Linked DNA regions of Cricetulus griseus. The protein of the gene in region 2 interacts with the protein of the main gene of each other region in a biochemical or structural test. Links are inferred from orthologs where the notes say so. Each region holds a gene or a part of one and is shown on either strand. Other genes may lie near its edges.

Region 1 (4,223 bases), on a different chromosome or scaffold from region 2:
GGGCACTTTCCCTAGCTCTAATGCTTGATGGAAATACTAAGAGTAGAAACTTTAGATCTGTAAGAAAATTGCTTAGAAATTAGACAATGCCCATTAAAATGCCCAGAGGTTCAAACAGTGATATTATGTTGAATTTAGTGCTTAAACAAGAATAATAATATCAGGAATCTGCTCTCATCGGAAGACCCTGGAAATACTGTAATACCACTGCAAAGAGACTATATCATTAGGTCCTTACCATTAGGCAAAAAACAACCTCAAACATCATAAAAAGTAGTATCATGCAAGTATATTTAAAGAACTAGATGTCATTATGTACTTGCAAAGCAATCAGAAAGGTGTATCTCAACTGATCCTAAGAAGAGAAGATGAAAAGTACACACAAAAAAATGGACTTTTATTTAAAGATCTGAGGCTGCTGAGTGAGATGGCTCAGTGGGCACAAGCACTTGCCACCAACTCTGACAACCTGAGTTCAATCCCTGGGACCCACATGATAGAAGGAAAAAACTGACTCCTGAAAGTTGTCCTCTGAGTTCTACAGGCCTCCTTGCCCCTCACACAAATAACTAAATAAATGCAATAAAAATTCAATTTCTACCATGCTAGCCTAAAAAGTAAATAAATATTGAGAGAATAGTTTTCTAAAATAGGACAAATTCAAACACTTGAGCATATTGAAAAGTCTTTGAGCAAAAGTTTTTGAGTTTATCTTAGGTTTTCTATTGCTATGACAAAACACTGTAACACAAGCAACTAAGGGATGAAGTGATTTATTTAATCTTACACTTTCAGGTAACATTCCATCATAAAGAGAACTCCATCAGGAGCCTGGACGTAGCAACTACAGTAGCGCTACTTACTGGCTTGCTCATCCTGCTTCCTTACAATCTAGGACCACGTGCCCAGGGTGGCACTGCCCACCGTGAGCTGATCATCAAACATCAATATCAATCAAGAAAATGCTCCACAGGCCTGCCTACGGGCAATCTGATAGAGGTATTTTCTCAATTGAGGTTCCTTTTCCCAGATAACTCTATCTTCTGCCAAGTTGACAAATGAAATAAAAAATAAAATCAACCAGCACTGAGCTTCTGTATAAACCACAAAGATTAGCAGTGTGTTACTCCCATAAATAAGACCAACTTCCAATTTTCTCCCAACAGGAAGACAAAAAGTATGACTAATTCTGAAAGTTGTGTTTTATACAGAACACTCTATCAGTAGTGATTAAGTTATTGCAAACTTCCAGATGAGAAAAGTTGACAGAATATTCTAAGTAGAATAAAAATCCACAGTAACCAATGATTTATTCAACTCTTGGAATACTGTATTTAGCAGAACTTACTGGGGTCAGTCTAACCATTCATTCACTAATGATAACAATAATAGCAAATACACATTGCTTACCATATGTCAAGACAATGTTCTAAATATTTCTCAGGGCGTAACTGGCTTCATCCTAACACTATATGTCAAACACAATGCACTTCATAACCATCTCCACTCTACAGACAAGAACCTATAGCATACATCAGTTAAATTACTCTGCCAATGAATTAAAACCAACCAGACAGACTGACAGACAAACTGGTAAGTTGTTAGATAAAAACTTGGCCATAAGTAGTTAACCCTAAACCTAAAAATAGTCCAAGGGAGACAACAGCACTATGTAGTCATGTTTAAAGGCCAGTCTGGCGCCGGGCGGTGGTGGCGCATGCCTTTAATCCCAGCACTCGGGAGGCAGAGGCAGGCGGATCTCTGTGAGTTCAAGGCCAGCCTGGTCTCCAGAGCGAGTGCTAGGATAGGTTCCAAAGCTACACAGAGAAACCCTGTCTCGAAAAACCAAAACAATAATAATAATAATAATAATAATAATAATAATAATAATAATAATAATAATGCCAGTCTGGCCATGAGCAGCGGTGAGGAAGACACAGCAGGGCTGAGTGGGAATTTTCCTGTCAGAATCACATTTAGTATTTAAAGAATTGTTTAATCCATACTGAATCCATATCCCTAAAAATGAAACTAGAAAATAGCCTTTTCGTTTTAATTCATTATAAAAAAAAATGTAAAAACAAAACAAGCCCAAGTAATTCTGGGGTGGCGCTAGGTCTGGAAACTTCTGTAGTGGGTATCCTCCTGCTTTAGCATTCCAGTTGACACTGTAAACTAATTTCCCAGAAATGCAGACAGGGACCCTAGCACCAGGGAAATTGCTATGCATTCAGAAAACCACGCCGTTTACCGCTCTCGTTTTTACCTGAACGGGCCCTCATATAAACAAGGATGATCCAGGCAACTGAATAACGGATGTGGCGTCCACTACAGGCTGTCTAAGCAGCGGCCGTTCGTCTAGACTTTTCTATTACTACCAGCAAACAGAAACCCTTCCTGGCCCTAAATGCCTGCGGCACTTTCCCTGGGTTGTGAGGCCGAGTCCCAGGGTCCGTTATCTAGCTAACAAAGGATGCCAATGGGCTCTTTCGTCGTGCCCGACGGCGTTCTTGGAAGCAACTTGGTCGGGCCGGCCTGCTCTCCAGCCAGTAAACCTGGCTCCGCAAAACCAACGAGCTCAGCAATGACTCCCTCCACGTCCCGCGCCTACCCGAGGGTCCTCTCGTCAGGTTGATCTCTTCCTCCGTAACTATATAATCCACCCGTCCGTTCATGTCTGACGGCTCACCGGGCGGAAGCCCGGGGTCAGCTGGAGCTCCGCGCAGGTGAAGGTGAATCAAGCTCCGCGCCGCGTCCCCAGCATAGCTTTTACAGTTTCCTAAGCCGCCGGACCGGAAGAGGAAACCGCGGGCACTGGGAGCGCCAAGGATGCTGGGAGTGGTGGTTCTCCGCGCCCACCAGCGTTTTCCGTTACCTCGCCCCATTCCCAAGGCAGATCCTGGGGTGCCATGAGTAAGGCACAATGCTCACCTACCTTGGGAAAGCATGTGGGAAGGAGGGCACGGAAAGAGGGTAATAAAGTTATGGTTCGTAATTAGATTGATACTGTTGATATTTTAAATAAAATCTCAAAATATCCACAAATGTAAAAAAAAAAAAAAAAAAAACAGGAGGATTTTATCTTATGAGCTTCAAACCATACTGGGAAAGGCATCACGGGCAAACTACTGGTGAGATTGCATATTTGGGCAGAAAGTTGTACCTTTTCCTTTTGTGTGACGTGGGTACAGCCCAATACATCCATGCCCCGTGTAAAAGAACTTGATAACACTGTGTCATGTTCATTCGCTGGCAGTTCACTCTGTGTTAATATAATTTATCTACAGGGGGAAAAAATACAACCTATCTCCCTCCCTCCCCCACCTCGTGTGTGTGTGTGTGTGTGTGTGTGTGTGTGTGTGTGTGTGTGTGTGTGTGTGTAGTGTTCACTGCTTAAAGCAAGGCACCTACACTGACACACATGACAGGAAACTGGAGCACCATACGACTGACAAGACACTTTGTTTAAAGTATTTGCTGCAATATATTCCTGGTTTGTGTCTTTAGCAGGCTTATCTAACTTAAGAAATGTGTATACATACAAAGATACAGAGAAGGGATTAATTAAATTATAGGCTTACTCAAGAAAAATACTCCAAAGCAGGGGTGGAGGGTGTGGAGGTGGGGGTGGAAATGTCATTTTTTTGACAAGATGATTGCAGGACTTAAGATGTGACATTCCTAGCCCTCTTGACTTTTGAAATAGGACATTCCAAACAGGTTGAAGGAATTTTCAAACATCAAAAGATAAAAAAAAAGCCTTAGGAACCAGGAAGGTGACCATAAATGTATATAGGGTGAAAAAAGGGATTGGTTACTGGAGATGTTAGAGAATTGAAGAGTGAATATCACCATAAAGGTATTCTACCTTACAGTTAAAAATCGAGCCAGCAACCACTGTTAATTAATCAAAACAAGTCAGAAGTGGATTCTATATGAATGAGACAGGATGGGAAGACAGGGAACCTATGAGACATGGGAGGGGCATCATCTCAGAGTCTGAGTAAAACCTCTTGCCAGATGAGCAAGGACTCTATCATAATTAACATTTGCTGCAAAGGCTACTGACATGTAATTAACATTTATTTTCTGCATAGATATTGTATGAAAAATTGGCAATGGCCTAAGCTTCAGATCTCAGTTTGTATGGCCCTGGGCAGGGCCTCATTTCTTTGTCTAGAAATTGCTTGAGAATCTCAAACCAAATGTAACTTTGTCTACAG
Region 2 (4,158 bases):
TTGTGTTTTGAAACAGACTCTGAAGAAGGATAAAGAGGAATAAAAAAATTAAAAATCATAGAATCTGAAGACATTCCAGGATGAGGGCAAAATTTGAAATGTTTCTCCTGGAATGAGAGCAAGGAGGAAATTATACACTTGGCCATATCCTACAGGGATAGGCTGCATAATCAGTCTCCATAGCACATACCATGGGAAAGAAGCTGAAAAAAAAAAAAAAAAACCGAAGACCACAAAACACCACACACACACACACACACACACACACACACACACACACACACACACACACACACACACACACACACACACACACACACACACACACAGAGCAAGTATCTGTCTTTCCTGAACACCTAGAATAAACAAGTTACTACTGTTTCCGATTTGATGTTTTTTTAAAGTCAGCTACCCAGAAACAAACTGGTAATTTAGTAAATTACTTAATTCTAATAAAAATAGCCACCCTCTGTTTCCAGTGCCAGATTACACATTACACAGAGAAATCAATTAGAACACACACACACACACACACACACACACACACACACACACACACACTTTTTCAGAGTGCATTTAACATGTAACAAAGTCCTTTTTTAAAGAAATATCAGGCATTTTAAGCAAAAAAAAAAAAAGTATCAATATGGAGCATAGCTTTTCAAATTATTTCAATGGATTACCTATATTATGTTCTGTCACAACAAAACTCTATTTCAAAATTTTTGCTATTAACCTGCAAGCCCAGTGAAAATAATCATAAATTGAACTACTGCTCAATTCTTTTTACTCGAAAGTCAAGCAGAGGAAGCTGTAAGATCTGTAGTGTCAGTCTGCCTTTCCACAAGTGATACCTTGGGGTTGTTCAAGAATAACCTCCTTCATCAATTAATGAGACTCAGGTGGGTTTGGCAAAGAATAATGTCTACAATCCCTTGATCCATGGCCATGATGCCCCTCCTCCTCAAGGGCAGATTAGGAGAGAGAGAGAGAGAGAGAGAGAGAGAGAGAGAGAGAGAGAGAGAGAGAGAGAGAGAGAGAGAGAGATCTGAACAGGAGTTCACCAGCCAAACATATAGGGTCAGGGAGGAAAAAAAAAAAAAAGAAGAAGAGTACTATGAGAGAGAAAAACTACAGGGTTAAGTCATTTCACAAAAGCAAGATGTTTAACATTATCAGACACCATTGTTTAGCATGCTCTCCAAACCGAGCACAAAAAGAACTGTCCGCCTGCCTTAAGCATGTTCCTTCTTCCATTTAAACAGACATGATTCTTTTGGTTAATCTCTGGCAATGATCGCCATTTCACAACACATCCAGCCCACCCGGAACTGATCAATACCACTACAGACATAAGACTAGACTTTATCCATTTATTAACCACAAGGAAATGTACCATTCAGCAAAAATTCTATACATTACAAAAGATTCTATTAAAAGGGGGGTGGGGTAGGGAAGACGGACACACTCAACACACACACAACAGAGAGGTACACAAAGAAAAGACTACCACCTTCTAATTTCCCTATGACATAAGAGGTAACGACACAGCCATGAAACCTGTCAATTTGTCCCCCCACCCCTATTCTTTACCACAACCTAGCAAATATACATTGGATATTTATAGTGAATGCATTCATTGTGACTTTTAAACTGTTTCATTCCTCGAACTAACTCTCCTGTCAAGTGGATCTGCACACCTTTCAGCTAGATGTATGCATTTCCAAATTTCAAGTACAAAAGCCTAGCTTTTTCCAACCACTGGTTGCAACCATACAACGTCCTCACATAATCAAATTTTTGGATATAAAATGGCCAGAGTATTCTCCTAACCTTGAGCTAGAATACATCTCACAAGAACAGCATATTTTAACAGTGAGCACAATTTCACAAGCCCTGTTCTAAACTGAAAACAATGCGTCGGTACAAAGCGTTTAAAATAAGTAATCCGTAGGTAAGCAGAATCTACGCCTGAAAAGAGCACACAAATGGTGGGTGAAAGCCAGCATATACCACCAACACGCAGCAGCATACCTCTTCTGCACCGGGTTATGGTTAATACTCCGACAACTAAAACTATTTTTAACACTACTGGACAATGAAGTTGGAGAAGACGTGAGAGGAGACCTAGATTAAATTGCTGATAGGATGCATTGTTTCTCACAGTCAAAATTAAACACCAACTCGCTTGATCTATGTCTCGATATTCACCGGTGAAGCACTAATTAGATGACGACCAAAACCGGTCCTTGTTTTGGAACAGCTTAGGGCTAAATGACATTTCGGAATACTCCTTTTGGGTCTCAACCTTTACATAAATTTTCACTTGTGGTATTTGCGGCTTAACAGCAACCCAACCAGTGCTGTCATCGAGTGTTATGGCCACAAAACCATGACTTTCTCACTTCCACAACAACACAGCACTCAATCTATCAGTTCGCCAAACCAACCCAAAACAAGAGGAATTCATGGAGGTTTCCAGATTGTCAGGGCTGCGGGGTCGGGCGCGGGAAAGCCTCGGCCGCCCCAGAGCTGCCCAGCCGAGACCGCAGCCGGCCACAGCCCCGCCGCGCCGGCTCCTCCACCTACCTGAAGAGCAGGAGATAAGAAAGACGGCGAACGCCAACTTTGCAGCAGCTCCCATTTTCCCGAGGCGCCGGGGAAGCCGAAGGAAGTTCTCGCTAGATATCCAGTTCCCTGGGTCTTCCTCAGAGACAAACCTCCTGGTGTAAAATCAACCGTCATAAAACATATTCGGAAGCCCCAAGGCGGGGTGGGGGGGGTTGGTGGGGAGGTTGGATCAAAAACGTTCACGGGGTTGAAAAAAAAAAAAAAAGAGGCACAACAATTAAAAAAAAAAATGTACCACGGGGAAAAAACCGCCACACACACGCACAACACGAAACCAAACAACGAAAAGCCAACAACAACAAAAGCGGGTTGAAATCACTGTCAAAATCACTGTCAGCTCCTCTCGCCTCTAGCGTCTCTGCGAACAAAACGCCTAGCTGAGGCGACGAGGCGGCGGCGGCGGCGGCGCCTGCAGCCGCCCGGACGGTCCGGGAGCCGAGCTGCTCCGACGTCCGGACCGACCTTCAACCCGGACACCCAACGTCCGCGGACCACGGTAGCCGAGCTTGCGGCGGTGGCGGCGCGAGGCGGCGGTGGGAGACGGCGGCGGGAGACGGTGGTGCAGGAGGCGGCCAAGTTCTGGTCCAAGCTGTGGCTCCGGCTCCCGGCTCCCGGCTCGGCCGCGTTTTCGGTCTCCTGGCCTCCGCCAGCCCCGCCCCCTACACTTCCGGTTCCGGCCCGAAGCTGGAAGCCAGGCGCGGCGGAGAAACGCTCGGCGGCGGTGGCGGCGGGAGCGGCGGCAGGGCGCAGCGCGCGTGCCGGCGGCGAGCGCGAGGAGATTGCCCGGGAGGCGGGGCGAGCCGGAGGGGCGGGGCTGGAGCCGGAGCCCGAGCTGGAGCGCGCTCTGCGAGGCCTGCGGGACCGGAGACCGAGCTGCCGGGACGGCCGGCCCTGCTGGTCCCGACCGAGGCCCGAGGGCGCTCCTGTGCCCTCCTGGGCGCGATAGCCGTAGCGACCGAACGGGATGAGCGACGCCGAGGCCGACTGCGGCGCCCAGGCTTTCCTCTGGGGGACGCCGAGGCCGCGCCGAGCTGCTCCGAGTGGGCGGGAGCCGCACCCGCTGCTGCCCGAGCGAGCTAGGTGCTAGCGAGGCGGCCGCGCCCCGGCCACCACCGAGGCCTCCCAGCGTTTGTCTTTGGGCTACAAGAGAAAAAAAGCAGGAAGGGCTGTCCGCCAGGTCGGGACACCCTCGCCAGATAGCACGATGTACGTTTCGAATCCTTTCCACCATACCTTGTATACACAAAGCATTGTGTTGCAAACAGGTCTGCTCCTAATTGGTTTGAAAATCTTATTAGGCTTGAAGTGAAAACTGCACATTTCGATCCATGTATTAGACGGTCAGAGAAGTGGGCGTTATCAATTCTTAGCCTCTTGTGAGACCTCGTAAGACTTGTTTACAGGGTGCCCAGTTAATCACCGAAACAAATCCAAAATGTTAAAATGTGACCCCTTCCAACAGAAGCTCAGCTATTTGGGGATATTAGAAGTTAGTTATAGCGTGCCAAGAATGACTGATAGAGTCAA

What was found. The genes of interacting proteins can lie anywhere in the genome.
Region 1: the proteins of Acvr2a (region 2) and Synj2bp form a complex in vitro, tested with the Homo sapiens proteins (2 studies listed by BioGRID and IntAct, with this or other methods). The link is inferred for Cricetulus griseus from reciprocal best matches to the Homo sapiens genes ACVR2A and SYNJ2BP.

The regions. Positions count from the first base shown.
Region 1 is NC_048598.1:122,173,508-122,177,730, reverse strand, and holds the start of Synj2bp (synaptojanin-2-binding protein), read right to left. Parts: upstream 2,801-4,223; 5' UTR 2,676-2,800; coding exon 2,612-2,675; intron 1-2,611. UniProt on the Homo sapiens protein: Regulates endocytosis of activin type 2 receptor kinases through the Ral/RALBP1-dependent pathway and may be involved in suppression of activin-induced signal transduction.
Region 2 is NC_048599.1:125,453,550-125,457,707, forward strand, and holds the start of Acvr2a (activin receptor type-2A), read right to left. Parts: upstream 2,801-4,158; 5' UTR 2,645-2,800; coding exon 2,590-2,644; intron 1-2,589. UniProt on the Homo sapiens protein: On ligand binding, forms a receptor complex consisting of two type II and two type I transmembrane serine/threonine kinases.